2 linked regions of the Canis lupus familiaris genome follow. The protein of the gene in region 2 purifies or fractionates together with the protein of the main gene of each other region. This does not show direct contact. Links are inferred from orthologs where the notes say so. Each region holds a gene or a part of one and is shown on either strand. Other genes may lie near its edges.

Region 1 (3,569 bases), on a different chromosome or scaffold from region 2:
GTTGCTTTTTCATAAAAGTCTTAAAATTAAGCAGATTTAATGCTGGAATGCAGAAACCTCCTTGGGTATAAAAATGCAAAAAAGAACTATAAATATATCTTGGTTCAGAAAGCAAGATATTTTAATCACTCCAAGTTGGCAGTACTAAATAAAATATCAGCACCTTTTAGCTAGGTTGCTTGAAGGGCCAAGCAATGAGATGAGGACTGTGCTAAGTCAGTGCCCAATGCGGAAAATATTCTATGTGGAAAAAAACAAAAACAAACCAACCTCTACTTATTACAGGAGGCCTTGGAGAAAGCCAGGAATAATTTTTCAAATTCAGGCATAAATCAAGGCAATAACACCTAAGCTTCCTTACTTACAGCATAAAGAAGAAACACTGGCAATACTCTTACTACCTGGATACATGTGCTGCTCTCAAAGTTTTATTTTTTTGTTTAAAGTTCATGAAGTAAGAGGAAAGGAGTTGAGGAGAGAAGGAGGGCGAAATGCAAACACTCTAAATGGAATGGAAGGAGTTTGGCTCTTAAATATTTGAACGTTACGATTTTTAAAGCAGCTGCATTGGTAGCCAAGCAGATTAAAACAAAGCTGCCTGCACAGAGTTCAAATACAGTTTACCTGGCATAAATGAAGACCATGTGGCACCAGATGTAAACAGAAAGCTACATGCAGTATGACTAGTAAACTACAAATTATTAGGCCAAAATGCAGGATCAACATGGCTTGCACTTCTCACAAGTCACCCGATTGTGGTGGAGCAGGGCACCTCTCCGGACCAGTCCCCATCAGGCACCAGCAGCGTATCTTGGCACAGAAGGATCAAGCGGTTTCAGCTGCATTACTAAGTGTCTCTTCCAAGTCACCTGGGACCGGGACACCATGGCATCCATGGGGATTATCCTCATAACCCTTTCTAACCGATTGTGGACGTGGTAAACCTGGGTTCCTGCCGGTCACGGCGTGTGTTCTAGGTTCCAGAACCAGGCCGGTAAAGCAATGCATTACGTTCAGAACTTAAATTTCCCAAATAACTAGTTAGTACTGTTAATACAGGAAAACTGAATATTTAGACCATGTTTGGGTTCTTCTATTTTCTGGTATCTCCTAGAGGGTTATTACATTTTTAACGAAAAAAACAAAAAACAAAAAACAAAAACATTTTACCACATGCTGCAAACTCCCTGCCCCCACCAAAAATCCCCAAACAAAAACAAAATTGAAGTTTGAAAGAAAAAACAAAACAAAACACCCAAACACCAAGTATAATATTAATACAAAGAACCTTTCATTAAACTGAAGCTCACACAAACATACAATCACAAAGTTCAGTAGTTTAGGCTGCAAGTTTAAACACTATGCCAATATATACAAAAATAGTAACTCTAGATTCAAGAATAGGGCTTTTCCCAACGCTAAGTTCATACGCTAACGCAGCCTGAGCTTTCCTCTAGTTCCTACAGCCTACTTTATGCAGTTTCAAAATTGTATCGAGTTGATCCCCATTACCTTAGGTATGTATGTAACTGGATTCAAGGACACTACAATTCATTTTTAGCACAAAGAAAAGTCTGCCCCAAGTCCATTTAAAATATTTTTAAAGTTTAAGTGATTTTTTTGGTTCAATTTCTATTTCTGCATAGCCACAGAAGTTTCTACTACCAAAGAGACTACTTTAGTGTTTCATATGATTTTTTTTTTTTTTAAAAGTCTGAATCAAACCTATACCAACATTGGTTCATGGAGTCCCATTTTTCTCCTTTCTTTATCACAAGCTTTATATCGTTAAAAGATCCCTTTCGCACAGGGAAAAGCAGTACTGAGCACCAGTCTTTTGTGGTTAGGCTCAAACCTATGGAACTTGTAAGTAGTGCAAGCCACCGACTTTTCTTTGAGCAATGTGCATACAGTACTAGGAACAGATGCAAAGCTGCATGGTAACATTCTCGTAATCCACAATGATTACTGGGAATGGTTAAAACTGGAGGTCAAACACAATTTTGTCTTCATAGAGGGCAATCACCAGCATAATGGCAAATCCAAACAGCAATCCTAAATTCTGAAGAATGAATTGCCCCACTGGACAAAAGCCATGTTCTTCATTGTCACCATCACCATGCAACATTTCTGGAAGCTGGGGGGGAAAAAAAAAAAGACCCGCAGATTCTTACAAGCAATTTTGGGTAATATTCTGCTTAATTTTTTTTAACATTCTTCTACTTTAAACTAATGAATAAAGCATAACTACAAGTAGAATTATTCTATTAAACATAATGCTAACCATGACACGTGTTTCAGCCAAACACTGACAAAGTTTATGCTCTAGCTATGTAGTAAGTAAATGCTAAATCTGTTCCCCCCTAAACCCTGAACAAATGCAAATATATGCACTAGGTATATATTTAAAGTTACCATTCACTGACCTGGTCATTTATGACATTTGCTTTATGCTAAAGTAGAAGACAACTTATTATTGCCAATAAAACTCTCCAGGAAAGACCACAATTCTCAGAATCACTGAAAATGTTAAGATTCTTTGGGGAGATATCTAGTTCAAAACGGTTTCATTTCTTTACCATTTCCATTTAAAATTCTCCTATCCAACTGCATGTGAAAGCATGGATGGACATTTACAGACGGCTCCTAATTTGTTATTTCTATGCCCTTAAGCCATTATTTTCCTTGCAAGAATAGAGAAAATAGTCTCTCAAAGCTGTCCAGCAGGACTGCTACCAAGTGGCTCTCACTGCCTTCACAGGGTACTCTAATTTCCCTAAACACGATAAAATTTCAAAAACCTGAATATTTCCAATACCTTTAAAGGCACAGTTCTTTGAAGTTTATAGTTTGATTTCTAAAGCATAAGCATATACTAGTAAAGAATAATACATACTTCAAATATAAAACTTGTCTTTAAGTAAATAAGATTTGTTAAAGAAATGCATGTGCATTATTACAAGCATAAGGTCCCTCCACCCATGTCTAATCAAAATTGTGAAAGAACTGCTACTTCCACATTTCATTTTCCTGTTCTGTGTATTGTTTTTCAAGTTTGCAGTGATTATCATCAGAACGATGACACTGATAGGCTACTCTCTTAGACTCTAAGCTTTACTCCAAACAGTATCTGGGTGCTTTTCGGTTCAGAGAGGAAAAATGCAGCATTAAGAACATAATGCCTGCCTAGGAAGAAGCACTACTGTTCTTATTAAATAATGAGTACAATTAATCCAACTGCCATATTCTGACATTGCAACAGTATATTTAACAATCCCCTCAGGGCCCTACTTGAGAACTACTTCATGCTGGTCATCTATTTTGTTCAAGAGTCTATGGCAGTAGCACATAATGGCTGATGGCAGTTACTGTTCTTTTTGAGCAGAGTTAAGTAACTGTGATAGACACCCCAGAGAGCAGAGCTGATTAACTGTCACAGAGACTATATGGGCTACAAAGCCTAAATATTTACTGTCGGTCCCTTTACAGACAGTTTGCCAACCTCTGGATTAAAACTAAACCCGGCAACTTCCCACCTGTGGTTCTAGTAAGAAGACTTTTTTTTTTTT
Region 2 (3,569 bases):
GTGCAGCCAATTTCAGAAACAAAATGTCAGACCAAGTTGTATAAATTCAACTACCAATACAAAAATAACAACTGTTTGCTGAAGCAAACTTAAGGCAATTTCATATAAACAATGAAGAAAATCAAGTAAGAAATCTTGAGAAATGGCTCATGGTGCCTAAAAACATATTTAAGGACCAGATGATAGATTGGGGATCCAGACATTCAGGAGAATCTGGCTCCAAACCTGAAGGGGGAAAAAAGTGGGCCCAACTAGTGGCTTTAAGCTGTCCAAAAAGGCTTCATAAACAGTGAGCCCTACTGATTTTCCCCTTGGCATTCTAGATTCTTGGGCCTTGGAGATACTTGAAAATTTGGCCAAGAAAAGATAAAAAATATTCCTAAAGCTTCTTCCATGGATTTATGCAAAAGAACCACTCTGGAGATAGGTACTTCCATAGTAAGTTTAAAAAATTCTGGTGAGGGATCCCTGGGTGGCTCATTGGTTGACCAACTGCCTTTGGCTCAGGGTGTGATCCTGGGGTCCTGGGATGAAGTCCCGCATCAGGCTTCCCTGCATGGAGTCTGCTTCTCCCTCTGCCTATGTCTGCTGCCTCTCTCTGTGTGTCTCTTATGAATAAATAAATAAAATCGGAAAAAAAAAATTCTGGTGAGCCTAGACATTATGTAAGAACAGATGTTGGACCCTTCACTCGAAATAAGCCATCACACATTGCTGCGCTGATTAAATCCCCCCAAAAAAACTTGCTCCTGGAAAGTGTGCTTAAGGTGAAGATTTCACTCTTCAGCTATGTTAAGAATTCAGTTCTTGATACTCTCCCACAGGAAATTAGCAGCATTATGAACATCACTTGGGAGCATAAGGCTGAAGACTGGACCCACTGTCAAGGATTCTAACTAGTAGAAATATTGTAGCGGAGGCAGTCAACACCTTCAACAAAACAACTTTCCTCTTTTTTTTTTCATAAACCTAAGGGTAAAGAAAAAATACACAAGATTCACTTACCCATTGATAGATGTTCTAGACATAAACAGGCTAAAAACAGATGACACAAAAGAGTGATATAATTGGATAAATAGCCAGCCCGATTTCTCAATGCTGTTGTTTAAGAAGATCTGTGTTCCTTGGTCAAGGTAGCTCTGAACAAAGACAGCCTGGAGTGATTCGCATAATTTCTCTCTGTTGCACACATACCACTAAAAAAGAAGAAAAAGTGAAAATACACAACTGAAGTGTCATCTAAACAAAAGCCCGAAGACTAAATCAAATGTGATATTTCCAAATATCATAATCTCATGGCCCTTGGCACTTTGAGGATAATCTCATCTTTTATACTCAGATAACCTACAAAGTGTAAAATACTTACACATACATAATTTCTCATTTAATTCTCCTAAGGGGATGGGAGGGCAGAGGAAGGTTGAAGAGGCTTCTGAATCATATAGCTTAGTAGGTTAGTAGGTGGCAGAGCTAGGCCATAATCCAGGTGTTCTGACTCCTGGCCCACTATTTCAGTCACTATACCTCCAGTACTCTGAGATCTAGGAAAGCTCTGTTGGCCTCTCCTTCACTGAAAATCAGTCTCAGAAGCCAAAACTAGCATTATTAACTTTGTTTTAGATAAGGAAACCATCATGTAATGCAGTGATTTAATTCAAAACCACCAAACACATCAATGGCAGAGTAAGCAGCAGAAGTTAACACTCCAGTGACCAGATTAAGCTGCCTTTAGAAATACTGAGGTGTGCTTTACCAGGTCATATAACATTCTCAAATAGGGGCAATATGTTCTTGAGAAAGATTAAGAAGTTACTTAAGGTCACATTGCAATCAATGAGAAAACAAAGTAATAACAGGCCAGAGAACCAAATACCCAGGAACAGGCTCTAACCAGAATGCACTTTTGAGAGCAAAATCCAAGAACCTCAACCATGGATGAAATTTAATCTTCCACAATACATACGTTTTCCATTTTCATTTAGAGTTAGTGTACCAGGAAAGGGGAAGGTAAATAGTAGGGTAGGCCAGCTTTAGGGTCCGCTCCACAATCAAGTCCTGGCTCCACCATTCCTGTGCAAGCTTGGAGAAGTCACTTAGTCACTGAGCCTCAGTTCAGTCATCTGTAGACTAGAGATGTCACTGGTATGTACCTATCCTAGTAGATACCTACCTGTCACTGGTATCTACTGAGAGGATTAAAGAAGGAATGCAGGCAAATCCTCAATATAGTACCAGACACACAAAAGAATCCTATAATAACAGCAATGAGATTCCTCTAACATGGCTGATAAATAACAGTAAGCCCATTAATTACAATGATGAAACTGTAGGGTTGACCAGTTACTACTAATCCATGATCTGCTAAGAAACAATCAATTTTTTCCCAATAAAGTCTACTGGCCAAAAGTAATTTGCTTCCCCCTGATAAATATGACATTTATCAGCAGGTGTCCCGTAACAGCTTACTCAACTGGTGGACCAATTTTACAGTCATTTGAAGCTTGCTAAATGTGGAATGAAATCTTGGGTAACATTCCTGACACTAACATTAAAAGGAACCAGTTAGAAACCAATACAAACAAGCAAACAGGCACATTAAAATTGCAAAGATTAGCTCATCTTTTTCACAAACCTATATCCAAACTAAATACCAGATGTGCCAACTGTTGACTGATTTGTGTTAATTCACTATTTGAACACTGTTACCAAAACTGCTTGGACTTGAAAACAATTTTCATTTCTTCTACTGTACATGATAAGCTGTGAAGCTTCTTATATTTACTGCCTATACTTTTTTCCTTGGTCTGAAAATGTTCTTGCTTTATCATTAACTAATTCTTAATATTCATCGTGCCTGAAGTTATGCCCCAGTACATGTCATAAACCATTTTTTATTATACTCACGACCTTCTGTGCACATTCTGAACTCTGTAATACTGAGGCCACTGTGACTTTTATTTATTTTTTATTCTCTGAAATGACTAATCAGGATGAAAGCCATCACCTCGGTTGTAGGCAATCAGGTACACTCTATTAATGTGGACAAGAAGTCATTCAAGTGAAACAGAGGAGCTAACAATTCCTCGGCATTCACTTGTAATGGACAACAGAAAACAGTGGACTTCCAGAACTTGGCATCATTAACTGCAAATATTGCTTTCAAGTGCCAAGAGGAAAACTCAAGTTCTTAACAGCATTTTTCTCAATTCATTGACATTCACACATGTGGTTGAACCTTTACAGCCAAGCAAGTGTTTCAGAAAAGAAACTGCTTACTAAACAGAATTGCTACAAAATAAAAAGGAGTAAAGCTCTCCTCTTTAAAGACAAAGGTTGAAATCCATGTTCCTCCTGACCATCTGCAGGATGCAAATGTCAACTCCACAGCAGCATTATTCATAATCTCCAAAAAGTGGAACTAGCCCAAATGCCCATCAATTGATGGATAAACAAGATATTCAGCCATAAAAAGCAGTGAAGTACTGATTCATGTGACAACATGGATGAACTCTGAAAACATTATGCTAAGGGAAAGAAGCCAGACACAAAAAGCCACAAAGGATAGGATT

The links. Proteins that work in one complex are often made in the same cells at the same time.
Region 1: the proteins of METTL9 (region 2) and SLC39A10 purify together in Homo sapiens (co-immunoprecipitation; 3 studies listed by BioGRID and IntAct, with this or other methods). This does not show direct contact. The link is inferred for Canis lupus familiaris from reciprocal best matches to the Homo sapiens genes METTL9 and SLC39A10.

Annotation. Positions count from the first base shown.
Region 1 is NC_049258.1:5,393,078-5,396,646, reverse strand, and holds part of SLC39A10 (zinc transporter ZIP10), read right to left. Parts: intron 2,138-3,569; coding exon 1,979-2,137; 3' UTR 1-1,978. UniProt on the Homo sapiens protein: Zinc-influx transporter. When associated with SLC39A6, the heterodimer formed by SLC39A10 and SLC39A6 mediates cellular zinc uptake to trigger cells to undergo epithelial-to-mesenchymal transition (EMT).
Region 2 is NC_049227.1:23,453,158-23,456,726, forward strand, and holds part of METTL9 (methyltransferase-like protein 9), read right to left. Parts: intron 1,197-3,569; coding exon 1,006-1,196; intron 1-1,005. UniProt on the Homo sapiens protein: Protein-histidine N-methyltransferase that specifically catalyzes 1-methylhistidine (pros-methylhistidine) methylation of target proteins.